Lepisosteus oculatus: one gene and its partners. The protein of the gene in region 1 interacts with the protein of each later gene in a pairwise test. Links are inferred from orthologs where the notes say so. Each region holds a gene or a part of one and is shown in the gene's direction. Other genes may lie near its edges.

Evidence for each region.
Region 2: the proteins of gfap (region 1) and ribc2 interact in a two-hybrid assay, tested with the Homo sapiens proteins (2 studies listed by BioGRID and IntAct). The two-hybrid records come from large-scale screens. The link is inferred for Lepisosteus oculatus from reciprocal best matches to the Homo sapiens genes GFAP and RIBC2.
Region 3: the proteins of gfap (region 1) and zinc finger C2HC domain-containing protein 1C interact in binary tests that used the Homo sapiens proteins (3 or more experiments, as listed by UniProt). The link is inferred for Lepisosteus oculatus from reciprocal best matches to the Homo sapiens genes GFAP and ZC2HC1C.
Region 4: the proteins of gfap (region 1) and cwf19l2 interact in binary tests that used the Homo sapiens proteins (3 or more experiments, as listed by UniProt). The link is inferred for Lepisosteus oculatus from reciprocal best matches to the Homo sapiens genes GFAP and CWF19L2.

Annotation. Positions count from the first base shown.
Region 1 is NC_090723.1:1,941,584-1,949,248, forward strand, and holds the start of gfap (glial fibrillary acidic protein), read left to right. Parts: upstream 1-4,640; 5' UTR 4,641-4,752; coding exon 4,753-5,258; intron 5,259-7,665.
Region 2 is NC_090702.1:9,010,450-9,018,044, reverse strand, and holds the start of ribc2 (RIB43A-like with coiled-coils protein 2), read left to right. Parts: upstream 1-4,581; 5' UTR 4,582-4,683; coding exon 4,684-4,800; intron 4,801-5,916; coding exon 5,917-5,998; intron 5,999-7,420; coding exon 7,421-7,595. UniProt on the Homo sapiens protein: Microtubule inner protein (MIP) part of the dynein-decorated doublet microtubules (DMTs) in cilia axoneme, which is required for motile cilia beating.
Region 3 is NC_090703.1:8,490,257-8,498,442, reverse strand, and holds the start of zinc finger C2HC domain-containing protein 1C, read left to right. Parts: upstream 1-5,042; 5' UTR 5,043-5,519; intron 5,520-6,116; 5' UTR 6,117-6,201; coding exon 6,202-7,674; intron 7,675-8,186. Other genes in the region: DNA mismatch repair protein Mlh3, read right to left, coding at 1-1,726; acyp1 (acylphosphatase-1), read right to left, coding at 3,147-3,365, 4,328-4,420, 4,787-4,831.
Region 4 is NC_090700.1:10,207,835-10,216,070, forward strand, and holds the start of cwf19l2 (CWF19-like protein 2), read left to right. Parts: upstream 1-5,076; 5' UTR 5,077-5,110; coding exon 5,111-5,203; intron 5,204-8,236. Other genes in the region: alkbh8 (alkylated DNA repair protein alkB homolog 8), read left to right, coding at 478-743, 2,274-2,423, 3,158-3,691.

The DNA of each region.
Region 1 (7,665 bases):
ATCAGCCATTAGACTTAGCCAGCTCTAGATTTGGGGCAAGAGGAGGCTTCTTAGACTCCCTTCAAAACAGAAGCAAATAAAAACATTTAATTGCCCCTGATTAGAGATGTATGACTACTCACTTTCTCCCAAGGCACGTCTCCAGGACTCTCCCATCCAAATGTTTTTTCCACCTTGAGGAATTACCAGAGTGACTAGATCTGAGGCAACGACTGTAGCACCCTGAAAAATCCTTGGTTTGTAGGATTTGTGTGAAAATAATAATGAGACTTCATCGTATGTTGTGTGTGTGGAGGCAGGGCTTTAAAAAACAAATTAGTGGAGTGTTAAAGAAGTCCCTCTTATTTAACTTCAATTAACAAGAGGATTAATTTCAGTTTGTTTGCTGTCTTTGTCCTCTCCTTCTTTAAAAAAAACAGAACACAACAAAACAAAGAAATACAATAAAAAGTAGCGTCTCTTGGTCTCTGTACAGAGTAGCACTAGTGGGCTGTTTGGTCAGACTGACAAAGAGCTTTCTCATTGGTCACTGAGTGGGGGGCTTGCCAGTTTGTCACAAAGCCAGGCGCGAACTGGATGTTAACAACTGGTTGATTCAAAGCAAGCGGGGCTCTGCTTTTCATAAAAAAAACGTAGGTGTGAGGAACCAACTTTACAACCATGTTGTAGTCAACGATGTTTGGATCTACTGGAAGAAACTGAGCCATCTTCTTTTATTCCCAGGTGTCCTAACATTCAAGCCCACGGAGATCGGTTTTCTGCTCTTATACAGCTAGTGCATGAAGACAAGTCCCATTAGTTCATTGTAGACCCTGATCAACTCTTTCTATTAAATGACACCACGTCGTTACTGATACTAGGAAGAGCACTTCTACAGGTGCCGTATTAGCCTTTTTAAAAGGAGAATGTTCTGCACAATTACACCCATATCTGATCCATCTTTTAAAATGTTTTCTCAGGGGTAAGATTCGGGTAACCATGCCTGTGACACTGTGTGCTGACTTTGATCCCTGACCTCCCTGCTGACCTTGAGTGACAGGCTGTGGAAAATATCCGGTTAAATCAGCCAGCAATCTATAAACCTACTGGAAGCAATTAGACAAGAACAGCTCCATGATCAAGAAATTTCATGAAACATGAAAATTCACTGCCATGAATCTAAGTCCAGTTCAAAGCAGGAATTGTGCAGACAGTAATATTAGTTTTATTATCAGTATATATTAGAGCAGGGAGCTATGTCTGGATGGCTCCACAGCTCAAATGTGTATTTTATTTATTTTTACTGTAAGTGTGAAATCCTGAATTCACACATCAATAACATAGTTTTCCGCACTGTTTATCATGGCAAATAGATACATAATTGTTAACAGCAAAAGAATTGGCAAATGTATAACATTCCCATGTTTCCTGAAAGCCATTCTTTCTTGGATAAGTGTCTTAAACTGAACAGGCTATGAGGGACAGGGTTTGAGGAGAAGCATAAATTGGAAGGTTGTCTCCATTTTTTTATCCCACTCTTTTATGGGAACTTTCTCATTACAAAAAGGAGGCCTAGTAGTCTATGGAAGAGAAAGCAGTCATGCAGTTCAATTTGATAGGGGCCTGAGGATTAATAACCCCCATTAAGACAGTGTGGGCCCCCCTGAACTCCATGCCTTCACAGGGACAGACTACATCGCTCACGCACAGCAAGATGAACAATACCTCTTTCTCCCTTCACCCATGCCTCTTCTTTCTTCCTATGCAAGGGGAAGGAAAAGCTCGTTCCCCTGTAATGAGAGCTGTGGCATTATTAAAAAACCCTTATAAAAGCTTTTCCAGGAGGTCTGTCCTTGGAGTGTTTACAGACAGGGGGCTGGAGGCTCGGTTCAGGGCTGTTCCGGCAGCTCATGGCTGGTCAGACGTTCCCAGAGGAGCTGCTAGGGTGAGCTGAAGGAGAAAAGGAGAGGAGGAGGGTGGGTTACAGGAAGAGACATAAAGGGATGGCCAAGATGGAGCTGTTCAAAGTCACGTTGAATTGGAAAAGGGAAATTTAACATCATTCATACACACCTGTGTTCGGGGAGAGATCCATGGTCCACTGGTTTTGATTCAAATTAGTCTCTTCTATTCATCTATTAATTGACTCAATTAACGAGTTAATTGTTCTAAATATCCACTTTTCCGATTTAGGTACCGATATGTTCTAGAAACCTGATGGGACTGTAAGTCTTTAAAACCTGGAAAAACACTGTCCTTGATCTATGATAACTTTTTTATGATTAAAGAATCAGTTTAAGAAAGCCACTGAATGCTAGGCTTCATTTCTGCACTGAAAAGATCTTATATGTATTGTTCAGATAATTAGCTTTGGTTTCTGTGAGTAAGATTATATTTTATTATAAAAGATTATATTTTATAATTTTATTATAAAATTTTAAATTTTAAAATAAATCATCCAAAAATGCTGTCTCAGTCCCACAATCCCCAGAGAAAAACACTTTTTCGAAAAGGGCCCCAGGTTTCTATGACAACTGCTGCTAATCAATTCGAAACGGACCCCATATTTCTCTAAGACTCGAAAGTCACAGAGTCATTAAATGGATCTCCCATCTTACCCCAGTTCTTAACCCCGCCCTCCACAGCCCAGAGCTTTCTGCAAAGGATAAATCTGTCGGAGTGAATGCTGGAATTTCAGGCCCAATTCACACGAGAGGGAGGAGGTACAAAAGAGATCATTTAATGTCTTCTTACCATCCTGAATAAGTTGACCTGTAGAGTAAAACCACCCAACCAGGATATGAAGTACTACTTCTTTGTCCTTCTACTACTTGCCCAATCTATCTATCTTGTTATAGTCTCGTAAAGAAACATTTATTAAAAATTCAGCAGCTGCATCAGAATCATAAACATGTTTTTGTTCAGATGTTGTGAGACTTAATGCTCTTCAGCAGGGTCTGTAAACCGGAGGTAGGACATGGGCTGGTTTGTGATGAAGGAATTAGAATATGTGTCTCAGATCTTCAATATTGTTGCTTTTTGAATCCTGTTTGTAATGTTGATAGGTTGGCATATTGAAATTGGACAGCAAGCATAACTTTTCTTTTTCTTTTTGGTTGGAAATACAAGTTCTGCCTTTCATAAGCAATTCTTTTAAATTAATAAATAAGATATTGTAATAAATAATATTATAGTAATAGTGACACACCTGAAGAAGGCTCCACGGCCGAAACGTTGTGTTCTGTTTCTTCTTTTTTTCAGCATGGAATAAACCTATTACTTGTTCCCTTATAGTAATAATATATATTTTACAACAGGGAAGCTAATTAACTTGACAGCTGCTTTGATGTTGCTGACTTAAAAATGTACAAATCGCAGCTTTCAGAAGAACAAGAGAAAAGTAAGATTCAGGGCAGGTTTGAAAGTCTTGCGATGACCGCATTGTTCTTGTGCTCTCTCTTTCAGTGAGCACCATGGTTGAACGTCAACACAGACCCAGCGGCTCACAGCCCCTGAGCCTAGAATGGTTTTTGTAGCCTCAAGTGATCTGCGAATACAAGGGTTGCGCTCAATGGGATGGTAACCCATTGCTGTGTGACACCCGAGCAATCATTCAAGTCATTGTAAGCAGCAAGGTTGACTGGAGACAACACAATTGGTAGAAAACATTTTCAGGAGCCCCTCAACACTGTTTGTGTGCTTGGCTGATCCAGTGATAACTCCAAAGCCCAGACCATTTTATAGTGACCAGAGGTCTTTGTGTTATTTAGAGGGCCAATATGTCATATGCCAATATGACCAAGAAAGGAAGGACTCAGTTTTTACTGTCTTACAGTGCTGACAGATATATGGAGTTTTCTAACGAGTGGAAGAGAAGTTTACTGTACGCACTCATGCTCACACCAGTGCAAAGCTACTGGCAGCTGAAGTGCACAAGAGCAACACAACACTAGTGATGTCGTCGCACATCTCAGATAATTGAAAACACTGACATTTATTTAGATTGTGTCAGCTGAGGGGAAGATGAGAGGTGCTTAAAAGGTGAAAGCAATGACAGTCGAATACTGTAGTTTGATAGTCGTAATGGACACACAGAATGTCCTTTATGCTTGGTTAGTAGGCAATGTTAATTCTTAAATTAATCCTAAAGGATGTACAGTAGCTATAGCCATACTGTACTTAAAGTGAAATTGATTTTTATCTTACTTTTCTTGGCTTTGGCCTCATGCAGACAAAGGTAGATAAGTTCTATGACTAGGAAGGACATTGTAAAAGAGTGCCTACACCTTTGCCTACACCTTTTTTTTTTAAATCTTCATAAAATAAATCCTTGCAAAGTGTTTTGTAGATGGCAGTGCTTTACAAAACTGCGGCGAGAGTCCAGTGAGTGTTATTTCCAGTAAATCCCTTGGACGCAGTGTGCAGCCACACTGATTAAAACCGTTTTGAAAACCACAGTCCTGCAGCAGAGTTGTTCCCTACAGTGCACAGGAGTACTTCAGGCGCTCATTATCTTTTTTTTTCCCTCCTGAATAACATTCCAAAACTCCAGCTTGCAGAAAGCGAGAGAAAGCCAGGAGAGTTTCAAGTTCAGTAGACGAGCACAATGGCTGGCAAGTCCTAGCTGTGGTGCTCCCCCTCCCCCTGCCTCTCTCCCCCTCCTGTCTCAAGCCCTCCTGCTCAGGGTGGGGGGGCGGAGGACAGTGTCTATAAAAGCCGGAGAGGGACAGAGACCATTTCATTTGCTGACTTGTTCCATTTCCACCGAACACCATGAGCACGAACATGGAGACCCAAAGGGTGGTGGCGTCTTCTTACAGGAAGAGGTTTGGGGCGTCGGGGAGCGGTGGAAGGACATCCCTGTCCTCTGGCCGATTCGCCGTCCACAGCTCTCCCCGGCTCTCGCACTCCAATGTCACGGCGCGCCGCAGTGGAGTCGTCCTGGGCTCCTTCACGCCCGACAAGCTGGACTTCTCCCTGGACACCGTGCTCAAAGCCCAGTACAAGGAGACGCGCACCAACGAGAAGGTGGAGATGATGGAGCTCAACGACCGCTTCGCCAGCTACATCGAGAAGGTGCGCTTCCTGGAGCAGCAGAACAAGGTGCTGGTGGCCGAGCTGAACCAGCTGAGGGGCAAGGAGCCCACCCGCCTGGGCGACATCTACCAGGACGAGCTGCGCGAGCTGCGCAAGCAGGTGGACCAGCTGAGCACCACCCGCGCCAGGCTGGAGATCGAGAGGGACAACCTGGCTGAGGACCTGGCCCACCTGCAGCAGAAGTAAGCTGGAGTTTCCCCTATCAGCATTCCCAAAGCCCCGAGCGTAGTCCTTTCAGATTCCGGGGAGAGAATAACAGTACGGCGGCTCCAAGGATCGCTTTGGTGCCACAAGCAAAAGCCTAAATCTGGAGTCCAGCTACTACAAGAGATAGAATAACTGTCTCCAGTTCAGGCAGGATAATTCATTAGCCATGTCTCAAAGGGCCTTATAAATTGGCCCACAAGTATAGATCAAAAGTAGATCTATAAGTGTGTGCCAGGAATTGAAAATATACTTTAAGACATGATTTAAAAACGTACAGTATAGTCAATATCCCTTAACAATGAGCTGGTATATTGCAATGTGCAATAGAGTGTAGCCTAGGTTAAGAACAATGGGGAACTCGTAAACTATAGAATAAAGTCACCAAGGAGAACCTGTTGGATGGGTTGGAGAGCAATACTCTTTAAATCTTTTATAATGTAGTGACAGAGTTATAAAATATGTCCCAAATTTAAAATGCAAAGAATCCAGTAGAGGAGTTATGCCCCATTCAGTGCTGCTGATTTTCCTACGTGTCGTCGTGTCTGAGAGTATGCTTAGTGTCAGGCAAAACTGATGTCTCCTCTTGCTAGAGCCTGTACACGCAAAATAATTAGGAGTTTTTCAGAAAGTTTTTTTGTGCTCTCCAGGACAGGAATATTTATAACTTAAATGTTTATAAATTATTTTGCTTGTGTTCTTCAAATAAAATTCTTCTAAATCTATGCACAAAATAAAACAGCATCCTATATAGTATTATCATATGCAGTATAGATTTGAGCTGGTTTTACTAGGACATTCAGAACAGAAAGGAATTCAGAGTACAGTTTTGGAAATTGCCCTGGAAAGATGATGTCTGCTGACTAAATCTTATCCTTACAAGCCAGAGTGAACACCGAGCGTGAGAGTGTGTTTGTGTTGTGAGTGCCAGTGCCTGCATTTGTAGATGCAAAATTAGTGTGACACAGCAGGGCAGAAGAACTAGGGTGGAATTAAAAACTTTTTCAGTTTTACATCACAGATGTGGTGCTGCTGGAAATGTTTTGTGTTCAACTGACATTCAAAGCAGTTGGAATGTAGGATATTTTGATTCCACTGATTTTGGTATTCTTCATACTGAAGGCTGGTGTCCTCAAACTATTGAAAAAGGGTTTTATTGTCATCAATTAAACTGTGCTAAACTAGAGATTTCTGGTAAGATGGGGTTTGCAGATAGATATCATATTTGTGACGGTTATACAGATCTTAAAACCTTCAAACCACTGTTAGCTTATTCAGTGGTATGGATTTGCTGTCTAAAGGTGAAGTGAACTAAGGTTACCTAAACAGGGCTAGAGTCATAAATCATAGTCATTTGCGACAGTTTTCTCAAGAAAAAATAAAATTAACAACATTACCTGTGACTGTGCACCTATCAGGGATCTGAGGAGATGGAATCAGTCATGCCGCTTTTATTATATTATAATAACCTGTAAAGTTATAAATTTATCCACTTGGATCACTAAGCTGCATGAAGCCTGAAATGTACGGATTTATAGCCTTGAGTTTACTAGCAAATAAACCTGATGGCCCATTACTGTAGCTGCTTGAATTTCGCAATATGAAGTCGTTTGGAGAACAGTCGAGTGAAGGAGCCCCCTACATTTTATTATGTACATAGGCTTTTCACTGGGCCCCACAAAGAGCCTGACTGTGAATTAAATTCCTCTTTTCAGCCTTGCTTGAAGTGACAGCTGCACGAACTCTTGCATTCATGCCAGTACTTAAAGAAAAGCTTTGCTCTTGATGAGTAATAGCTGTGATGGGTTCATGCATGCTTTCCCACCATTATTAGTGAAATCCATCTCATCCTCATGTCACACAATCAGACCTGTTTAATGCACTATTATTCTTTTCCTTGTATTTATTTTTTCCCTTTGAAGTGATTAATTAATCTATATTAATTGCTCCTTTTTTACTCCCATAATGGATTGGTAGTCAGCTTGGTTCAGTTCTATAACCTGCTTTACCAATATAGAGGAGATGAAGGTAAGTCGTGTCTGTAAATGGCACTGAGAGTCCCACAGTGCAAACAGCAATGCTAAGATAAACATTTGACAAATGCACATGAAAAATAAAAGTAGTTAGCCTCTTTTTGCCAGATAAGCAAACATTTGACTGTTGTCATCCAAAGAATTCCTTTCCTTGAGGTTATTTGCACAAGGTGAGAAAAGCTCTTCTGCCATTTGTCAGTTAAACAACAGTACAGTATAGACACTATGAAGCATCTCCAGATCCCTTTCCAGCTCAACCTCCTTCCTCCAAAACACCATGGAAAACAATGGAAAACTGAGACCACAGTTCATCCCACACCTCTGCCTAATTTATGTCTGTGCCCAAAGAATG
Region 2 (7,595 bases), on another chromosome or scaffold:
CTGTTGGGTTAAAGCATCCATTTACCAGTATGAACACAAATATGACCTCACCAATACTTATCCTGCGATAGGCAAATGGGTTTGAAGGACGATCTTTTGATTGAACAGGGTAAGTGTTGTTTGCAATGCTTTCAACTTGCTTTGAAGCCATCAGAACCATAGCCTGTTGTGAAAAAAAAAACACTGTGGCTTCATGACTTGGTAAATGCATGCTGATTGAGCAGTAAAACAACATAATTTGTTGGCAAAACCATGTGGATGCTGCACAGTGGTGGTGGTGGAGGGGAGTCCCCATTACCTGTAAAGCGCTTTGAGTGGAGTGTCTAGAAAAGCACTATAAAAGTGTAAGCTATTATTATTATTAATGGTGTAGAAACATCCGGGGCTCCCAAAAGCATTGAATTCTCCTTTGGTAAAGTGGAATTTACTATTGTTGGAAGGTGCTCAGGGATTGGAGTATGTCCAAAACTGAATGGAGATTAAGTCTTGGCTGAGAGTGAGATGTGCATACCAATGTGGTCACCAAGTGACATTGGCCATTTGACTTGAGAGGGAGACTCAATTTATTTGTCAAATCCTGTAATAAACTAATTGTGGGGAAATCAGGTGACCAGTGTGCTGGGATAGCAGCCCAGAACTAGAGCTTCTGCTAAGTGCTTTTCCTTTGTTTTTGTCATCCTTGTGCTGTTTTTCCATTAGAACACATCAACAAAAATGATTATTTGACTGTTGTTTCCCCAGCTGAGAAAAAAGACTGTGATTCTCCTGGAAAAGGAGACAAGTGGTAGCCACACTGCTGGAGCAGTCAACAGAACAGTACTTACAGCTTGTAAAAACTGAGATGGTGGCAATGAGCTGAATCAATTCTAATGTAGGTTCAACACACAAAACAAGAAAAGCACTTGGGCCCGACTTTATTCCAACAGCTACACTGAAATCTTGTGCCAGTCAACTTCCTCCTGTTTTTACAGATCTACCTTACAATCTCTCTCGTAAGCAGGCAAAGGTACCGCACAGTTTTAAGATGACTAGTATATTACCGGTACTTAAGAAATCCATTGTGAACTCCATCAATGACTGCAGACCAGTAGTCTTGACATCTGTCATTATGAAGGTGTTTGAGCAGCTCATAGTTTCCTGTCCAGTGCACACTTGGACCCATGTCAGTTTGCCTAAACAGCAAACAAGTCAGTGGATTGTGCAGTCTCTCGGGGCTCCATGATGTATTTCAACACCTAGCAGCACCCAGCACATATACCTGGATCCTATTTATTGATTATAGTTCTGCTTTTAACACAATCACCCTTCTTAAGCTTTTTGATAAGCTAGAAGAGATACTGTAGGTATTAACCAGACTCTGAGTTATTGGCTACTGGTGTAGGAAGCTGTTGGTGAAGCTGAAGGATACTATCTCTCAGCAAATCAACCGGAGCACAGGAGTTCCTCAAGGTTGTATCTTATCATCTCTCAGCATCTCTCATCTCTCATCTATCATCACAGCAATGAACACTTTTCACATATTCCTGTCTTTAGATCATCACACAGGGTGTTATTGTCAGATCCCATACAGATAAACTCCATAGTTCACCCTTTATATTCTAAATTATACAGGTTGACATTTTCAAGTGTATGAGGTTTGGGAAACTGACTTCTTCTGAAACATTGGCTGTATTGGGAATATCTATATCCCTGTATCTTCCTGGGAGACATGAGAAATAGGAGACATGAGAAAGTTTCCTGGGTTTGTTAGCCTTCCTCTGTAAAGTTATTTAATTTTTACCCTGATTCTGGCCTTCTTCAGCTTGAAATTATACAGTACAGCTTGAAATGATACAGCAAAGGTATACTAACTTTGAGAACAGTTAATTTCAGAAGCATATTAATATGGCTATTTTTTCCATATTTATGAAAAATCAGCCACAGTTTGTGTGGGTTATGTGATGCCAAGCTACAGTATATATTAAAGTGATATTGTGCTGGAGAGCATATGGCCAAATTAATACAACATCAGGGGTGCGCAGTTTGTTGTTTTTCTACTTTTTGGAACAAGTAACTCAGACTGTCCATCACTATTAAATCTACTCTGACAGTTCTTTTGTTAAAATTTGATATAGCTATGTGATAAATAATTATACACAGTATGAAGATAACAACTCCCAGTCTCGGCCTCAGTTACAATTTTACATTATTTTTGGTGCTCTATCAAGGTCTAAAATTAATAGGTGCTTTTATTTCTTTTTTAGTTCTATGATTCCTCTCTCACACCCTTCAGTGCATTGAGAAATGTCTCAACATGGTAGAGCTGGGTAGGCAGAGGGCTAAGCTCTGCCAAACATTCTGTTTTTTAACACCTTTGATTTACAAACACGGGTGCAGTCTTGTCACTAGACAAGACAAGACAAGATATACAGTATCTAGTTGTCCCCTTGCAGATAATGTTGTCATCCCACTTAAACTTAAATGTTTATTCTAGCATTCAACTTATATATTATAGACTAAAATTGGCCCCAGTCTTACACAACTAAATATGATTGGTATTTGCTCAAAAATGTGGTCGCAAAATTCCAGAAAACACAGGATTCCTACTATTTTCTATAACCACAAACTTTTCTTTCTCTTTTTCACTCTGGGTTGAAAAGATGTTTATTATTCTAGCAGACATTTTTAATGAGAATTCCTTCCAGATCCTGCAATCTCAATAAAAGCTACACGCTTACTCTTTCTTTTTTCTTGCATCTTCATTCTGCTATGCATGGCTCTAGTACCCCCTGCACAGTGAAGCTGTCTACACACCTAACCTATAATCTACTGGTACAAAAGAAAGGAATTGGTTTACTCTGCTTTTTCTGTAGATTTTTCATTCCAACTCTTACTAATATGGAACAAGAACTTTAATTCTTTAGATCAGGAAATTAATTGGGACATTATAAATATAGCTTTCAACATTCATCCATCCATTTTCTAACTATTTTATCTAATACAGAGTTGTGGGGTTTTGGGGGGTGCCTAACTCAAGCAACAGGCAGAAGGATTGATACAACCTGGATGGGGCCCCAGTCCATCACAGGGCACATACAGATACAGAGACTCACACACTCACACCAGGGCCAATTTTCCCAGAAGCCATCAGTATGTCTTTAGGCTGTGAGAGGGAACTAGAGCTGGAAGAAAGCTACGGAAACATGGAGAGAACATACAAACTCTACACCTACGGCATCCCAGGAATGGAACTCAGGTCCCTAGAGCTGTGAGACAGCAATGCTTAAGCACTGTGCCAGCATGAAGCCCCAGCTTTAAAAATCCTAATAATGAAATTATCGTCTTCAGGCATTGTATTTGACCCATTGTTCACCACATCTTCCCCATATGGTCCTTTGTTTATTGTCTGTCCAGAGGACATTGTAAGCACTATTTGGAAATAGTTCAGGTGGGTAGCTGCGTCAGCATGCGTAGGCTGCAAAGGAACAAGTAATAGGTTTATTCCATGCTGAAAAAAAGAAGAAAGAGAACACAACATTTCGGTCGTGGAGCCTTCTTCAGGTGTGAGAGAGACAGGGCAGTAGGCAAAGGTTACGACCACTCTAATCTCTCCGTCTGTGTTCTCAAATACAGTTTTCCGAACTCATACATCAGAAAGACCACCGAAACTAAAATTATTCTGCAGCTAGGATCACACATTCTCCCTTCTCTTAACAACAGACTACTGTTCTTTTAAATGTTCTCCATTCATTGGAAGTTTCATTTCACACCTCTCTGCACCCATTCTCACTTCACACCTCTTGATTGGCCTCTCTTTCTGTTCCCTGCTCCCGCCTCTCACTCCTCCTCCCTCCCAACCTTTGTTCTCCCGCTACTTTACCTTTGCCTACTGTTCTGTCTCTCTCACACCTGAAAAAGGCTCCACGGCCGAAACGTTGTGTTCTCTTTCTTCTTTTTTTCAGCATGGAATAAACCTATTACTTGTTCCACTATTTGGAAATGTCGAGATGTTTTGAAAAACAGTTATTGTTTTCCACATTTCTAAACAAACATACAGTATGCTTTGCTTTATAGTACTCTAGATAGTTTACAGTACTCCTTAAGTTATAGTACAATAACTTTGATCTTGTCTCTCAGAAATAAAACTTATTTGGTTGGCGGGTCACTCACCACGGTTTAAAAAAAGGACACAATGTCTTCCCTCTCCTCTTCTGGAGTCAACTTTAGTAGTTTTCTACTACTTATATCAAAGGTGATAGGGAAGACAGTACAGGCTTGGAGTGCTTTAGCTGTCGTGATTTAATTATTATTGCACAGGGCTTCTACCATGGCTGCATAACTATGAAATTGTTTATAATTACGCATTTGTTAAAAGCTGAAAACTTACATGTGCTCTATTTTATTTGTAAAGTCTTATCATACGACATTTGGAAATGTTTATTTTATAACTCAAATATACTGTATATTGTCCACTCATCTTAAAACTATGCTGCAGTATTCTGGTTATTAACCCGTACAAGGATGACAAAATACAGTAAACACCAGGGGGAGCTCACCACCCACGCTGAAACTCGAGGCTCGTTTCCTAGCAACCAGCCTGTGTACAGTAGTCGCGGGAGAGTACACGGAGACCAACACACACACACAAATTCTGTGCGAACTTCATGCAGTAAGCAGAAGTGCAAAAAATTAATAGAAACTGAGATGTACAAACTGGAACTGCCAGCGGATCGTACTCAAGCCGCTCACCTCGAGAGGAGACGAAACGCAGATGTTCAACGGCAAGATAGGATTTTCAACGCTAAAGTCAGAACGATTGGAGTAAGGGGCTCTATATGTTCTATACTAGATGTCTTGAATTTTTAACAGTTTATTTTCGCAATACGTGAATGATTGATATCCTGTAGATCAAAAATTATTCAGCACACAAAATAATGTAACGATTAGATTGAGTTTGATTTCTTATAAATGTTTTTTCTGTTTCCTTCTTAAGCTTGAATATGTATGAACAAATTTACATCTGTATTTTTAAATTACATATACTGTACATAACCCAGCGATTCCCAACATCAACCGCTTCTACCCACAAAAGGTGTAACTTTATAGTTATTTTCACACTTGTTTTCAGTGCTGTATCATTAGTGTTGCAACAACGGAAATCTACTTATTTAATGTTTTATACTTGAATATCGTTATCTAATAAACGAGATTTGTATCGTGTTATTATCACGATTTTTTATTTTCTAATTGTTCACCGTATTGTGCATTGACAACGTATTATACAGTATAATGATACATTAACTCTCCTCAGGAACATGTCTGTATCTGCTTCATCTGCTCATTTCAATGGCACTTCTAACCGCTTGTCTTTCTTATATGTTTTTACTTTGTAACCTGTGGTCCTACTGTTTCTACACCTACTGTTTCTACTTGAGATTTTACTTTCAAAGGTGCTACTGTACATAAAATAACGTTTTTTTGTAATTATTGTTATAGAGGAACATGATCAGATTTTCCCTGGTTCAGAAAAAAAAGATCTGAAGTATACTGGTTTATCACTGTTCTCACACCCTCTTTGGTAAATGGCTTTGCATACTAATCTGATCAAATCTACCTACAGATCCAGCAATTCAAAATGCATGGAGTACGCCGCGTTAAAACGCGGTAGGCGTGGCACATCGTACCGCATTTTAAATGAATTATGATAATAGTATCTAGACATTTATCAGAAATGTTTCATATTGCAGAAATGACCTTGGACTAGCACAACAATCCATCTGGATCGTCTTATATTGGTGGAGAGCATTTCGATAAAATCAGATCATTCTACTTTATTCAACGTAGAATAACTGATATTTTCTTTAATACTTAACACAATTTAGTGCCAGTCTGCCTGTGCAATGCCTTTTCTCAGTTCCTTCATTTTGAAATATCTAGGTGGATAAAGAAGCATTAGATTTCCAAGTGAAGGAAAAGAACATAAAAGAAGACAAAGAAGCTAGGATACTGAAGGCCTACGGTGAGTACAGGTTTCTGACATGACAATGTAAAAATATTAAGTCTGCAGCTGGTGTGGTGGCGCAGTGGTTAGCGTTGCTTCCTCACAGAACTGGGCCCTCTGTTCAATTCTTGGGGTGCTGCTGTCTGTGTGGAGTTTGTATGTTCTCCCCATGTACTCATGAGCTTTTGCTCTGGACATATTGGTAGGTTGATTGGCTGCTGGGGAAAATGGCCCTGGTGTGAGTGTGTGCTTGTGTGTGTCATTATGTGCCCTGCAATGGACTGGAGTCCAGTCCTGGGTGTAGCCTGTTGCTTTTCAGGTGTGGCTTCTGCTCCCCCACAGCCCTGTGTTAGGGAATATTAATGAGGACCCTATGCAGAAAAACCAGGACGAACTCCAGAGGCGTAGTTGATTTAACAGTCTGAGGTCCGAAAGCAGAAGGTAAACAAGCCGGTGCAAAAGTAAAAAATCAGAAGCGGAGCTGTAAGCCGCGAGGAAGCCGAGAGTCGAAGCCAGAACAATACTCAAAGTAGCAAAACAAAACCAAGAGACGTAGACTAACCGGGGTCAGGAAGCCAAAAACTAAGAAGTAATTAATTGGGAGAATTGAAGTAGCTCTAGCCAGGAAAAACCTGACTACTGAGCACAGGGGAGAGTATGAAGCAGCATTAAATTGGTTGGGGTAAATGGGCTAATTGGGAACCGTGCGGGAATGCGAGGTGGAATGACGAATCCTCCGGGGGCGTGGCGTAACACCCTGCATTCGAAAAAGTGGTAAACTAAGAGAACAAGAGTGCAGAAATGTGCAAAAAAAAAAAGGAATTTATAAAAAGAGGAAGTAAGAAGTCTGTAATGTTATTTTTTTATTTTTATGTGAAGGATCCCATGCCTTGTTAGGAGTTTACAATGAAGTGTTTAAGAATTGTTGGATTGTTTGGCACATTTCAGGCCAGCCAAGGTCTCTTAAATGCAGATGCACTGTAATTCATGTATCCTACACTCAAGTTTAGAAGGGAAGAGGGGTCTTGGTTTATTGCCACGACTGACCTGAGCTAACTGCCTGACTCTCTGACCATGTTTACATCTTATAAGGCAACAAACTGTTACTGACCAATCATAAAAATGTATTAGATTTTGCTCATCTTCAACAACAAAAGCCTGTTGTTCTGTTTGAAAAAGCGAGTTAGGGACGAGGTTATAACCTGTTAAATTTGCCTGTCCTCCTTTCTTTATTGCAATAAAGAAATCATGATTTGATTCAGTAGAACTGTGTGTGGTTTTCATTGTGGGTTCTAACATACAGTATGCAAGATCTTTAATACAGATCTTCAATGCTCCAGCATGCAGGGAACTTACATTTGTAAAAGCAGATATCTTGAAAAGAAAAAATGGGTGAACCTACACTCAGAGTTATTAATGCCTTTATGTTTATTCCTTAAGCCGAAGACCTCATCTGCGCTGACAAGGTGGCCTGTTTGCTGGAGCAAAGGCAGAAAACGGATGTGAGAAAGCTGTGCAGGGCCACTGATGAGTTCCGGCACAGCTATCAGAAGCCGGAGGACAGGCGGGAGTTCAATCTGAATGACCCCGAGCAGCTGAAGAAGGAAGCTGCAGG
Region 3 (8,186 bases), on another chromosome or scaffold:
GAGGCATTTCAGGGGGCACATCCCTGGAAATGACACTTTCTGTGTTTTTCTCAGGTTCTTTGCGATTGTCTATCAAGTTAAGGCAGTGATTCTCAGGTTCCTTTGCTGTTTTTGTATTTACACTGAGTTTTGCTCTTTTGCTATTGGAGCACAGAGAGACAGAAAGCCCCAGCTGTGCTACACCACTGCACTCTTCCTTCAAGTCCCTGTCAGAAACGTCCGTCAAAGATTCATCATCTCTTCTGGCTTCTGTCGGTGTGTTAGGTGTCACTGATGCAGAGCCAAGCATTTCAGTGATTTTGATTTCTTTGCTTTCTGAACTTGAGGAGGTGACTTTGTGTGAGTCAGGGGAAGCAAGTGTTTTTTCACTTTCTGGGGGGCATGTGGATTCGGGGTTCCTAATTTCTGTTTCACCTTGACCTGCTGTGTCATCTTCATCTCCTGCCTGCCAGACACTTCCTGTCAGATTGAAATCCACTGCCAATGCTCTGTGCACATCTTTAGACTGCAGAGTCTTCCCCTCACCTGGGTCCCTAGTACAGCTTGAAGCGGGTTTAAGACTGCCAGCGCCAGGCCCTCCTTCAGTACTGTCGGCCCAGGCCGATGGGTCATTGAAGGTGTTCTCATGGACAAATTCACTCATGTCCTCAGGAGACACCTCAGCCACCAAGTTCTCCTTCACCAGGAACTTTTTGACTCCTTCTTCCACGCAGAGCAACACACCATCCCAGTCCCGAAACTCAATGAGTGTTTTTGCAGGCTCCATGCACACATCGTACTCTGAATAATGGCACTTAATATTAATGACATAAACCCCATGGAGCTCTGAACCACCCCTCTGCTTTGGACTGTGCACAGCGATGGACACAACGGGGATGCTGTTCTGCCTGCTGGCAACTCTCACCTTCTTTAGTAAGAAATTTAGGAGTTTATGAATCCGCGTTCTCAAGACTAGTCTGCTGTTTACGTAGAGAAACTGCATGCTGTTGTTGTAGTGACCCTCACGCCCTATGTGGCCACTCATTTCAAACTGGTTGTGGCAATGACTGATCTCCCCAAGCTTCTGAGCTCTGCCCAGTCCGTGAATCTGGGTGAACCTATAGTACGTGGCCCGCGACTTGGAGAGCTGGAGCACCGTGCATCCGGTGGAGTCATTTCTCAGAGAGAAGGAGACGGAGGGGTGCATGAGGGAGACTGCTTCGATCCTCTGCCTGATCCGCTCGCATTCCAGAACCGGGTCGAGCCTTTTCCTCCTCACGGGCAGATTGTGGAAGACGTCGCAGGCCACCACCGTCGTGCCGGCTGCGGGCCGGGTGGTTGCTGCCTCGGACACATCTAAGCCCCTCCCGTTCTTGAACACTTTCACGAAGGTCTTCACGGACTCTGGGGTCCTTGACGAGACCTCCAGCAGGGTGGCTAAGCCGGCTATGCTTGCCAGTGCCTCCCCTCGGAATCCGTAAAACCGCAGGGCTTCCAGATCATCCAGAGAGCCGCACTTGCTGGTGAAGTACCTGTTGCCCACCTGCTCCAGGTCTTGCCTGTCCATCCCAGAGCCATTGTCCAGAACCTGCACTTTTCCCGCCTCAATGTCCACTCTCACAGCCACGCAGCTGGCCCCAGCGTCGATGCTGTTGAGCAGGAGCTCCTCCACACACTGCGTCAGTGAGAAAATGGCTATCCCAGAGCGAAGCTTCGCCTGCACGTCCTCGGACAAACGTCTAATCATAGTTCTGACGCTATCGGAAACCTAAACCGCCTCTTTGCTGTAAAAATTATCTCAGCAAGCGCTCCTAGGCCCGTCAGACATTTCTGCACATTTAAGAGGAATTCGGAGCTCCGTCCTAATGGGACTTTTCTGCAAATAAATACTTCCAACACATTTTACTTAACTCCCGGTCTAATAAATTTTACATTCTACATCAAGGGTGCCGTTTCATAACAGTTTCTACTGTCGCCATCTACTATAATTTGAGATTCCCGGCTGCCGCCGGGAACAATCGCAGACTGACAGCTTCAACCCTCTTATCATGTTGGGAACTATTCTTTTAACAATGACGGTTTAAAAAAAAAGTTAAAAAATAACATTCTGACGAGTTTGATAAACAAAACTACGCACTACGGTGCTGGACAAAACGCACGCTAAAACCTATTATCCAACCATTCAAAACTACTACTCTACTTTTGAAAGAGGGGGAAGAAAAACGGTGCTATAATTATCTTAGGGGAAACGACATTCAGCCGTGACATCGACAAGACCGTATTTCAACTTTGTTCTTCTTCATATTTAAAAAAATAATTTACACTGACTTTTTTCTAGCTGAATGTCCTTCCAAAGTGTCCGTTTCCATGGCTTCCGGTTACTATGGTGATGCGCGAATTAAAAGCAGCATTCGTGGACAGTGAAATGCAGGCCATCTCTAATTTCACTCTAATTTCTAACATTCACAGAGCAAGAGCAATCCTAATCCATCCTGCGTGGTATTGTTTGTATGTCTTCACATCCGCATCCGGGCCCGAGCGTTTGTGTTCAGCTCTTTGCTGCCCCTACCGCAAGAAATACAAATTTCGAGTCTCAGGGTTTTTTTTTAATTATCGGTATCCATTTCTTATGTACGGTTTACCTTACCAAAATAAAATTCATAATATAACATATTTGAACAGTTTTTGACGTTTCGGACATAAACGTATTGAGAAATATCTCGAAAGACTCAATTTTGTAATGATGCATATTTTATTGACCAATTGTTGAGTTGATGATTACATCTCAAAAATAAACATAGGGCTAGCGTATTTTTTACAAAGTACCGTCATTAAGCTGCCCTCTCAGTAACTATATTAACAAAATTAAACAGTACACAAATGGTTCTTCAAAATAAATAGGGATTTAATAAACACACAGAGGGAACGTAGAATGTTCAAAACATCCTCAAGCACTTATGTACAAGATTCAGATTTGGAGACGGTATGCGTATTTAGCAGTTTAAGCCTTCACTGATGTTATCTGCAGTACATTTACAAAAAAGCATTCCAACACAGTGACATCTTGAAACCAAATGACCAAACATCTTGATTCTAGGAAGATGTTTATGCCTTTTTTTTAAATAATAATAAAAAAGAAAACAGAAAAACACATCACATTTGGGAGGTTAGGGCCGGACGATCCTGAAATCCTTGTGATCCAGACTCTCCACTTTCTTCTCGTTGGAGAACTCCGCCTTGGCGATCTGGGACTTGGGGCTGCCTTTCTTCCTCAGCCACTCCTGCATCTCTCGCACCCTGCTGCCGGGTCCCTGGAGCTGGCCTCTCACTGTCCCTTCCCTGGTGTTCTGCACCCAGCCTGTCAAGCCCAGCCTCTTGCCCTCAGCCTGGGGGAAGGGCAGCCACACAGAAATACAGCACACTCCTGCTACCGGACCGGCTGATCTGAGATTGTGCGCGCACGGAGACCCAGGGCTGTCGAACCCAGCTCCAGGTTCCATACCTAATTCTCAGCGACTGATTACTTCATTAACTGGGAAAGAGAGTGGTTCTATCCTGTACACATTCTGTACTTTGACTTGGGTACTGTTAATTTCTCAGCTCGGCACAAACACTACACAATGCCCACATGTGCCACAAAATATTTAAATGATAGTCATCGAGAAGCAACAGCAAAACACAACATATATGTATAGCATGCATACAAAGAGATTGCAATCTCACATGCACATTTATAGCAGACGGCTGTTCTGTGGTTGCTATGGCAACTCACTAAGAGTGCCCAATAGGAAGTATATACTGTACTGCCACATAGGGAAGCACAACTGAATGATAGCTGTCCACGCATTTTCAATGTCTTCATCCAAGACAGGGCTGGAGAACAGCCAATGAGGTCAAGACCAGATACATCCTAGACAAGCTGCCAGTCCTGAGCAGGAGGTATGTGTATACACACAAACTCGGAGGATGATTTCCATACTCCAAAAAATCTGGACAGGATAGATAAATCTGTACTGTGGGGGGAAACAGGAGTCCCAGGGTGAAAACCCAGCAATGGGCAGAACATGCAAACCGGGCACAGGCATACTGGGCAGGAAGCAAGCCGAGGGCTCAGGAAGTGTGGGGCAGCACTGTTAACTGCATTGCCACCGTCACACCCATCCTTAAAGGGCTTTACATTCCCAGGACAATCATGCCTGTGCTGCCTCAAGCCTCATTTTCATTTTCCTGTGTTGGGTGGGCGAATGAAATCCGAGTTTCCGATCGCCGAATTTAACTAGATGTTCTATAATTGAGAAGCTGGTATTAGTCATAAATAAACACACACAAATAAAGGAAAGGGCTCTACCTGAGTGTACTTTCGGAAAAAAACACCCTGCACTCTGCCATAGATTTCATAATCCACTGAAATCAGATCTTCTTTACCGGACATGGCAGAGACCTAGACAAAATAATGTAAAAACACAGCGTCAGGAACAGTAGAAGTACATTTTAAATATTTCAGCGTGGACTGAAGTCTTTCCAGATCAACTTTTATTTTGCATTTTGCGTTCGAAATAAAAAAAAAACAAACTTGTTTTTTCAAAACTAAAAGGATGTTTGAATTCTATATCGCTCTTAAATATCAGGGGGCAGAGCTCATTAGGGGCATTATATCCGAAGCTTCGTCTTCATCCCAGATCAACTAAACGCTAGCATATTCATCATATGTCTCAATCTATTATCCAACATAATTAAACATTAGATATAGCCTCATGATTTGCCCGAGCTATCCCTGCACATTGGAGACGAAACATCATATACTCACATTACGATAAATAGCAACCACGAAAGACAAATCACGCACACACATTAAAATATCACTAACCAGTATTAAAAACACCCATACGACAAATGTGTGTATGTATAGCGCATCTCTTTCAAAACGAAGGGCTTAATCCAGACCGGTACATCCGGGGCATCTCACAACTTCCGGATGACTTTCCACGTGGTTTGTCTGCGCCCAATCACAAACAGAGCCCCTTGACAACTGAATGTTACGATGCCAAGGAACCCCGTGGCGTCTCCCGGTTTCCAGGCAACGCATGCCAACAAACCCTATTGTTAAACTCTTACCGGAGAATACCCTCTGATGACCGACCTGCGAGGACAAAGGGCTCGCCTACTGTGACGCTGGGGGTGATGTTGTGAAGGGCATCACTTTAGCTCGGGGAAAAACTCGTCACTCTCTGTGCCTTTGCAGGCTTGGTGACTGTATTTCAAGGGGAGACTGTAAAGTTTCATAAAACCATACGAGGGGGGATTTTCTCCTACTTTTTTTTTGTAAAAAGCGCTGTTTAAAGTCGGCTTTCTATAACAGTTTTAACTGCAGGTTTAAGATACCAGTGAACAAACCCAAAAAGTTAAGGAGAGAAAGAAAACCCTGCCACGCAAGTGTTTATTCATGCTTTTCAAAGGACGCCAGATCGTGACAAACTCCCCAGAGCTCTGACGAAGGATTAGAGCAGAAATCTGTCGACAAAACCAAAGAAAGTTTTTTGGTGAGTAAATTATGATGAACTAGCACGTTTTTTTGGACTGTCGTGTAAGTAAATATATAATGTGTCATATACAGTGACTTCTGAATTATTTATAAGGTTTTGCCCAGAAATATATGTTGTTTTTTCCTCTTCCACGTCTGCAGCCGAAGAAATGTTGAATGAACGACCAGTGTCACGTCTCACTCGGGGATGCTGGGAAATAAATACAAACGAATTTCATTGGCCACGGGGGTGATTTATGATCAAAACTGAATATAGATTTCCAGTTGAAAATAACGGGCATAATGCTTGCGTTGCATCCAGCCTGCGTTTTAAGCTTAAAACTCAGTGTGCAACATTTAGTCGTTTTATAGTCTTTAGGAGAATCTGCAAACAGGATAATTACATTGTAACACAAATGGTTCTTCTGCCAGAAGGACAGCTACCTCATTTTTATAGTTTCTTAAAAGTATGATGCATGTATTGTTGTTTGAGGTGAAGAAAATGTTTAATATGTAATATAATTTTTTTTTGTGTATGTGGTTTTTTCAAGAATAGGCCTTTTCCTGTATTCACTGTAGGTATACATTAATATCATTACATTTCACTCCCAATCAGACACTTGGAAGAAAATAACCTGCCTGTCTCCTCTGCAAATGGTACCACATCTTAGACCTCGAGCTCCCCCTTCCTCGGTAAAAAGATGCAAACCGATAAACTTCCACCCCTGAGGCCCGGTGGACGGAACCCAGCTCTGCACCCGTCCAAGTTACAGCTGCTGCAGAGCAACTTCCAGCAGAAACTTGGGGAGGAGAAGGAGAAGAAGCTGATCGCTCTGTACCGGCAGCAACAGCAGGCCGTGCTGCAGAAAGCCAGGATTGGTTCCCAGCACGACCAGCAGTCTGCATTGCAAACCATGGCGAACAACAGGGGTGGAACTGGCCTGCACAGGGAACATAGATCTGCTGGGAATCTGCCCAGAAATGGCCATCTCCATCACGTTGCCCCTGGAAAGAAGACAGCTGGGGTGGATAGGTCCTGCCCACTGAAGCCTGTGTACCACAGGAAAGCCTTCAGTCTCAATCACATCTTCAGTCCAGGTGATGTTGAGGCTGTGAAGCCTATAGGAGCACCGAGGAATATCCCAGTGGCTCCTTCTCTGCCTGCAGATCACCCAGAAGGGAGTCATTTGCAAGTGGACAGGAGACACCCTAGAGCACGAATCCCCAGGGATAAGACATCCCCTCTAGATGTGGCCCACTCCCCAGATGAAAACTCCTCCAGGGTGAATTTAAGTGGTCTCCACTGGCTGCAAGGGGAACAACGAAGACTAGCAGAGGTAGAGGCCAACCTGGCGGAAGAGATAAGGAGGAAGGAGCTCCTGCTCAGGGCAAAACTGAAAAGGACCGAGGAAGAGCTGAGGAGGATTCAGATAGAGATGGAAGATTCTGACGAAGAGGAGGAGTGGGAGGAGAGAGGAAAAATGGCCCAGCAAAGGAGAGCTCAGGAGAGACAGCACGATGGTGCTCCAAAAGGGCACCTGGGCAGTGCCAGTGGCAGGGGTGTGCCTGCAGAGCCCTATAGTTCCTCAAGACACTCAGTTCAGGACAAGCAACCGGTCGATGCAAGAAGAAAAACTCAAGTCCTGCCTCTTATTGAAAATAACACAGAGCTTCACACTCAATCTCTGCTCAATCACTCAAGTTCTGCTCCATCACACTTCAAGAAACATGAAAAGGCCTCTAACGCCGGCCAGTCACAGGATGTGCCCTACAGATATGAAACACACGTCAGGAATCGAGGGAAGCATGCCGAACCAATTCCTCTGGACAGCCGCATTCCACAAGCAAGCTATGAAATGAGCAATGGAAATTGTGCTGAAGAAAGGCTGCCTCAGGGGAGCGGAGACTTATCACCAAGACGTTTTCCACTCTCTGTCGAAGAAGCACCCCAGGCGGAGCAGAGACCGACGTACAATCAGGAAGGGAACTCGCAGCTGTTGCCCTGCACGCTCTGCAACAGGACATTTGCAGCAGAAAGATTGGAGAAACACCGTAGAGTCTGTGAGAAAATGCAGAATTCCCGCCGGAAGGTGTTTGACTCTTCCAAGCACAGAGCCAAGGGAACCGACCTGGAGCAATACATCAACTTAAAGAAGAAAAGTACAACGCCAGAGGTAGGAAGTGACTTTAGAATTCCTTCCCACAAATAAAACGAATGTGTGAATATGATTGTTACCCAATCCAGAACATAAAGCAGCCCTTAAAGATCCTCCGAGTGTGGCAAAGGGGTTCCAGGAATCAGAGGTTTTCCCCAGGCAGTCTAGTAGTGTGTAAAACCTTACACAGTGGGTCTGTTCACCAGCAGGTTTGGCTTTTAAATCATAGTAACAAATAGCACCATTTTGGCAAACAGTTGCTTATGCATAAATTTGGGTTCCTTACAAGAAGGGATTTATTGAAAAAGTGTCCCCCAACCAGAAAAGGCTGAAAACCCCTGACATAAGAACTCAAGGAAAACCTAGGAAATGAGAGGAGGCCATTGGGCCTCTCTAGCTCATATGATAATCAATAACTAATCGATCCAAGGATCTCAACCAGTTTCTTGAAGGGAACCAGTTTCTTTATTGGTGTCCACAACAGGTTTTGTGGTTGGGTGGCTTGTTCCATACTCTCACAAACTGTTGGG
Region 4 (8,236 bases), on another chromosome or scaffold:
ATTGGTAAGGCCCAATGGGAAATTTGGCCAGGATGCCGGGGTTACACCCCTACTCTTTTCGAGAAACACCCTGGGATTTTTAATGACCAGAGAGTCAGGACCTCGGTTTTACGTCTCATCCGAAGGACGGCACCTGTTTACAGTATAGTGTCCTCGTCACTATACTGGGGCATTAGGACCCACACAGACCGCCAGTTGAACACCCCCTGCTGGCCCCAGTAACACCTCTTCCAGCAGCAACCTTAGTTTTTCCCAGGAGGTCTCCCCTCCAGGTACTGACCAGGCTTATGCCTGCTTAGCTTCAGTGGGTTTCCAGTTGTGAGTTGCAGGGTGATATGGCTGCTGGCAATGACAAAAAGGAGAGATGTAAATACGACACGTGTTCTACAATACTCTTTTACTTCTGTTTGTAAGTCAGGGTGTTGACACTGGAGCACGGCGCGGAATGTTTTGATTTGTTGGCGTCTTGTTGCGCAGCCTTCCCCTCGGTCTGCGACAGTCAGAGCTCTCCTGGGGATCCCAGCAGCCCCTCTGTCCCTCAGAGCGACCGCGACGCCTCCTGCCTGGAGAACGAGTTTGTACACAAGGTGTACGAGGAGATCGCCAGCCATTTCAGCAGCACCCGGCACTCCCCCTGGCCCAGGGTGGTAGACTTCCTCCAGTCTCTGCCCACTGGCGCCATCCTGGCAGACGTAGGCTGTGGGAATGGAAAGTACCTGGGGTTAAAACAGGACCTGTTTGCGGTAAGACAGTCCGTAGATCTGCAGTTTTAATGATACTTTACGGAAAGCCCCTCTACTCTGTGTTAACGAGCTGTATGATTTGAGTGAATTACACGGGTTGTTGACCCAGCTCTGTTCTCCTCATTGTCGCCAAAGCATATATATTACTACTTCGTGAGGTTTCGTTTGGAACAAACCATCGAGCTGAGCTGAAAGACTATCATCTTCATTTAGAAAAGAATATAAAGTAGCATTTGTAAGTGCATAAAAGTTACAATCTGCACATTGATTAGTATTAACGTTCTGATAATCCAAATTATTTGCAGTGTCCTTGCTCGTCCCCTTATGGTATAGGGAGACAGTGGGCTCCTGAAGTACACATCTTTAAAAAAAAAAGATAAACAGATGAAAGATTACAGCTTTGAATATGTCCTAAGTATTCTGTCTTTTAGATAAGATCATGTTTATATGCAGAAAACCAAGTGTATTATATAACACTTTGCTTTTTGATTCAATTCCATATTATATTAAAATCTGTATTGGAAAGGAAAGTATGATGTACTGGCTGTTAAAAACGGTACTGTTTGATGTATTTGTTATACAACTATGGAGGAAAGCATTTTTTTAGGATAGGTCGAACAAAATGTGTAACACAATTTCTGTAAGTGACAAAGCCCTAGCTCATAGCTCATAATTGTCTTTCCATGATAATTTTGACCTTTCGTCTGTTTGGATAAGATAATGTTGCAAGCTGCAGGCTTTATTTTTGTGCAAAAGAACCCCTAACTGTGGAAGACACTTTTTAAAAGAAAATATTATCGTAAATTATAAGTTTTTTTTATATTTGAGCACCAAACATGGCATCCTCTGTAAATTTCTGTTTTTATTTGCCTTTTACTGTGTCTTTCAAGCAGTAAAGCAGATATTGATTTATTGGTGTAAATCATGTCTTATTAAAAATTAGCCAGAATAATGTGTGGGGATAGCTATTGTCATTGCCTTTACCTTTTAAAGGTGTACACTCCTCATAGTGCCCCAAAATGTTTTTTTTTCTTTGCTTGTAACTGGTGCATTGTTGAATTATGCATGAGATAACACATTTTTAAATATTTCAAATGTTACCTCAAAACGCATTTGGAAAACGTAAATAAGATACTTTACGTGTCAAAATAAAAAATACTGCCACAAAATATAAAAAGATGATATGCTCACGGAGAAAGGCCCACAATAACACCCCTTGACTTAAACTCTGCATAACACAGACACATTACGTGTGTTTTCAGCGACCTTCAAAGGATGTCACTGTTTGTTCAAGAGTCACAGAGGTGGCTGCAGACAGGATCCGATCCGAATCTTCTGGGACGCAGTGTGATGCTGCTTTTTGAGAAACCCCTTTGTGGTGGTTTTTATAAAGGCTACTGGCTGTCTGGATGGGGACTGAGATGGCCCTGGTTGTGTCGGGGTGGGTGCAGTCTGCTCATCCCTTTCTGACATGGCTCCTGGCCCTTGCTGCTGTTGATGCCCCGCTGCCCCCCTCCTGTGTTTTCGCAGGTGGGCTGTGATCGCAGCAGGAACCTGGTGGATATCTGCGGAGAGAGGAGCTTCCAGGTCCTGGTGTCAGATGCTCTTGAGGTGCCTCTTCGCAGTGGCATTTGTGATGCCTGTATCTCCATCGCCGTCATTCACCACTTCTCCACTAAGGTCAGCAGACACTCATGGTTCTTCTTACCTAGAGCAGGCAGGACACAACGGCTCTGGATGGTTCTCCTAGTTATTCTTTTCATAGGAAATTTCACTTGATGAAAAAAGGCTAGCAGGAGAGTGCTACAAAAACAGCTGAAGATCAGTGAGGATCTCAGATAAAGCAGTAGGCTGCATTTTTTCATTAGGTAGGAGATATTCAGTACAGTTCAAGAAGAAAACAAGTCGAAGCCTTAGTTTGCCTACTGTATCTAATCTTTTCCCAAACCACACCTTTTCTGAAGAGAAAAGTTACATCTAACTTCAGCTTTAGTCTCTGGAATAAAAGGATAGACATAAAAAGGTATTTAAAGTTAATAAAAAGGTATTCACTGTTTTTAAAGTTTATTTCTTCTAAAGCCATTGAAATGGACAGGCTTGTGAAGCACGAAAGTGTTTTGGTGTTACCTTATAGTATTTTAGAATACTCAGTACTCAATCAACAGAATGCTTTAGAATACTCACTGGAAAACCATACAACCTGGCTAATCTCCACTGCAGTTACAGGTATTAGGGAGAACTTTGGAGTTTGGGGCGTGGAACACTGCCACCTCTTCACTCTGCATTAAACAATTCTGCAATGTACCTACCCTACCTAGGGCTCCCCTGGGCTTACTTTGTATTGGCTATTAAAAAAGAACAGAGCAGAAAAATGTAATTATTCACTGAGCTTACTAATTGTGTTTCATGTTTAGGAGAGAAGACTAGCTGCCATTAAAGAACTTGTGAGGCTTTTGAGGCCTGGGGGAAAGGCACTTATTTATGTTTGGGCAATGGAGCAGGAATATAACAAGCAGAAGTCCAAATACTTGAAGGGGAAAAAGGTGAATCAAGAAGAGGGCTCTGCGCAAAGACCTGAGCAAACAGCGGACCACCTAGGACACAGCACCTCTTTGGCATCAAACCACAGGCCTGCTGGGAAGGAGGTCAAAGATTGTCCTTTGACTCGGCAAAACATGTCAACATTGAGCGTTCACACCAACAGAACTGCGTTCCATTCCCAGGACCTGCTTGTCCCCTGGCATCTGAAAAGCTCTGCTCCCAGGGACAAAAACGTGGGAAAATCATTAGGATCTGCAGATATCTGCCCCATCTTTCACCGCTATTACCACGTCTTCTGTGAAGAGGAGTTGGAGAGCTTGTGTGGAGAAGTGGAGAACATTGCAATCCAGACCAGTTACTATGATCAAGGGAACTGGTGTGTAATATTAGAGAAGAAAAGTGAATGATTTTTTAAATGTGATATTAAGGAAGCCAAAAAGAAAGATTTTAGTGTGATTTTTATGATGGCCGTTATCGAGTAATTCAAAATGCAATGAAGTAATTCAATGTAATGTATTTTATTTAATGAAAATAAAAGTTCTGCAAAAAGATTTTTACTTATCAGGAAGCACCATTTTTGGAAAGGATATCATACTACGGACTCCGAGGTTCGATGTGTTATTTTGAAAGCTTGATGAGTTTAAACCTTAGCATTTGTGCTTTAATATGCAGTTGCTTAAGATCTTTACCTCTGATGTCTCAATTTTAATATGGCTTGCTGAATACCATTTCCCTATGCATTGCTAGACTTATATGTTCTGTACTTTGAAAACGTAGAATTGACGCATAGCAGCAGTTTCTTAATTGCTTTTACATTTGTTCTACAGTAAGTTCGTATTTAGTTTTTTATTGATTTTACAAATCTCAAAATGCAATGTATACTATACTCTTTTTTACTATTGTGATGTCTCAGGTGAAACTATGTCCTAAACTGCACCAGTCATCTGCGTTATTATTAATGGGTAATAGGCCTTTGATCAAAAGCTGGGACAAATTTTTGGCACTAGAATATTTGGCTGCATGTTTCCCAGCACAGAGACCTGCCCAGGATTGTTTGAATATTAACAGCAGATCTTCTTGTGCACAATTACAAAGTGAAGCAATGACGTGTATGAATTGTACTGTTTTAACATGGCTAGACTTTCTAGTAACAACTCCGGATTTTATTAAATAACGATCCGAGCTGATCTTTAGCCTTTGCATGAGGTCTGTCCACACCACCTCCCATTTCCTGAAAGGTTTATAATTTCACATATGACATAATCAAGTCATATGGCAGATTTTTCATTTTGACCCAAGACCATTGTATGAACAGATTCCAAAATCACAAGTGCAATAAAAAATGACCTCTGGCATAATAAAAACAATGTTCGCTACACCTTCTATCGCACCCTTCTAAATCCAATGACGTAATCACAAAACAAATACTGTACAGTTATTGCCGTAGATTGACTTCTGGGCAGCTGTTTTTTTTAATTTATGCATAACAGAATAACACAAATTAAAATACAAACGAGCACATATAACATCTCAAGACAAAAAGATCGTCAGGGGTACATATTACAACATAAATTCAAGTTATGAAAAAAGATTAAACAAATTAAATAAAAATAACGTCCGCACCGCTTTCATATTTTTGCTGCGAACACTCCCTTACACCCATTTTAAAATGCTCAAAGGGTTCTTCCCAGACCACTTCATTTTATGTATATAATAACTTCTGGGCAGCTGTGCGTTATGTACTGTTGCGGCTTCAACTGTCGTAATGTATTTACGACCGTTTAAAAGGCCTTGGATTAACCGGCCGCTCGGTTTGCGGCATCGTCATGGCGGCGTACGGTGGTAGTTTTGAAAGTGCCAACAGCCTCAATGAGAAGAAAGAGTTGAAAAGGAAGGCAAGAGAAGACATTCTGAAGAAGGTAGGTGTGAGTTTCGATGAAAATTACTGTTTGTGAAGATTGCTTACTCCGTGTTCCAAGAAGGGTGGGAACTTATACATCTGTGCTTAATATGAATACTCTTGCCGTATTTACTGAATAATCGTTAATACTGAAATACTTAAAATCTTTACACGTACGCGTAAGCAAATAAGGATTATAGAGTATATGCAGTTTCGAGGAAGTGATTTTATGCTTTGAAAGAAACGGGATATGGAATATTTCAAGACAACTATCAGTAATGTCATTTCTGCACTTCTGTTGCCTGTTGTACTGTATTTAATTGGTAACTTCTTGTCAGACAAAGTTCTTGATGAGTCATATTAGCTGAACTATAAACTGGTGTAGCGGTTCCTAGTTCTTTTTATCACCAATTTCCTCTGGCACGTTATACTATATAACTAGCTCTTGTATGTGCGGGGCAGAGGGAAATTGATTTTTTACTCGCGTCATATAACAGCGAAACCACAAGGTGGAGATATCGCACCTGCAGTGAACGATGTCGTCTGTAGCTTATGTACATGTCTCTTAGGGTAATTTTCTTTTCCATATTTTCTGGAAAGGAACTATTCAGACGTTTTAAATAAATTATTGTGAGCGAATTCATTATTTATTCTGTCCTTGGCACCGAAGCAGATACTGAAAGCATCTCCTTTAGTTCTTCAGGAAGTTTAGGGTATTACTATTCTACATTAAAATCAATGTATGCGCCAGTTTTGGATAGTTATTAGTCTTACACAGAAGATAAAATTAAAAATAGAAACTTGAATTATTTAGGCATTGTAACGGCGTGATAATAGGTATAGCAACATTGCACCCGATAATTTATCTTAAGGAATGTTCAACTGCGCTATGCGAGGTGGAACGGTTTCCTTCTTTCGTGGGCTCTTGTAATGAAAATTTGTATCGCATATGCTGAACAAAAATAAGTATCATAAACCTTATCAGCACAACTGCCTTGCTGTCATCAGTCACTTTAATTACTTGGCTGGAGAGTCCAAAACCAAATGCTGAACGCTGGTGATAAGACGCATTACGCGCCGCTGCAGGAAGGAAAAGATGCGCAGAAGCCTATTTGTGCGTCAGCAGTTTGTCCAAACACCGCCTGTAGCTCAGAAGCAAAGGCAAAACAAGCCTTGGTTTTTGAATAAACCATGCCTCAGAACAGTGTGTTGAAATCCTTTGCTTCTATCTGACGTGTTGAGCTTTACTTTTCCCCCCGTCTTCTCAAATCATGATCAATACTTAATAATTTGCATTCGGCATGGTGCAAATTCAAAGGCGAGGTTTTTTTTTTCCCTAGTGCTTTGCAGACGCCTAGGAACATAAGCTTCTTGGACGAAAATTAAAGCTTTAAGAATGTTAATGTGTTATGCAAATACCATAACAATTTAAGGTATGCTAGCAAGTTCGTACAGTATATGCAGAACTAGAGTTTCAAAGACCTGTTGCTTGTTTGAATGACAAGGTGAATTGCCTGAACCTTTCTGACGTTTGACCACATGTCTGATTTGGTGGTAACAAAGAAACAATCAATTTAATAAGAAAAATCGTTTTTTTTAAATAAACCTTATTGGAAAATACGGTATTTGTTAAGGTAAATTACCACGTTTCTTGGCGAGTGGCTTTTTAATTAAATTACCTTTTATAGTTGGGCCGAGTTACCTTATCTCAACAGATCTCAGAATACAGGTCTTGGTCTGGTCCGTATAAAATGAGAAAACAGCATTCACAGCAGTAGCTTGGTTGGTGGACCAGTAGGTGGTGCTCTTCCCTTTCCAAAGTTTCTTGATCAATGCTGCAGTATGGAGTCCTCCACCATGCTGCAGGAGGTGTTATTTTCTGAATGAGACCCTAAACCTTAAACCCTGAATAAAGCAGATCAATTTATTTGGCTCTGTTACAAAACTACTTGACCATTAAAGGTGCCACAGTGCTGTTTGAGAAGGGATGTTGATTCCTGGTTCCTGACTAAGTTCTGCTATGGGTCTGTCCAGTCTGGCCTACCTAAAGTTCTTAATTCAGTCTTGAACAATTTCTCACTGCTATGTCTGATCGGTGTAGTGGGGCTGCTGGTGTGAGATGGCTGCCGCATGTCACCCAGGTGAGTCAAAAGTATGTAATCTTTGTCTGCATGTATTCTTCTTCTTCTTCCTCACATTTTCCCACTTATGTGGGGTCTGCTTGTTTGCACCGATTTTTCCACTTCGTACGGTCTGCGGCGTCTCGGCAGGAGACTTTTGCGAGGCCCATGTCGTCTTTCAGCCAGTCCAGCCAGCGCGTTAAGGTTGTCCATGAGGCCGGCGGCCTTCCGCATTCAATTCGAGGGCGGTCTTTGCCATTGATGTGTCATTGCTGCAGAGCACGTGTCCATACCGTCGCAGGCGCGATTCCCTCATTTTCTCAGTGAGTGTTTATCGCGCCCCTTCATTCATGACATGGTCTAGTCTTCTACAGCCGAGGGTCCATCGCAGCATCTTCATTTCCAGAGGCATTGGAGTGCCTCTTTGTCTGCATGTATTGGATCTTTATCTGATGTTTATCTTTATCTTTAGCTGTATGATGTCCCACTCTTCTGTGTGAGCACTTAAAAATGTGTCACTAAGTGTTAGACATTTCCATAGGCCCTGCCTCAGGAGCTGCGTTACACTCCTGATTACTGCATTTGTTACATTATGTCATATGTATGTCTCAAAAGGAAACACTCTTTAACAAGATAATTCTGTCAGTAACCATGAAGTACAAGGAAAGGTTGATTTTCAGGTGGAAAGCTGTTAGAGTAAGTATTCTTATCATTATCTATCAAGTAGATGCAAGACATTAAAATATTAAATTTAAATAAATAAAGCAGATCATTTTATTTGGCTCTGTTACAAAAGATGAGATCCACCAGGAATTTTCAGTGTATTTTTTTCTGCGCATATTGAGTCTGAGAAGAGATTTAATTGGCTGCTTGCATGCAGTGGACAGCAGTCTAACACAAAAGTCACAGCATGACGTGCTGCTTACAGTAGT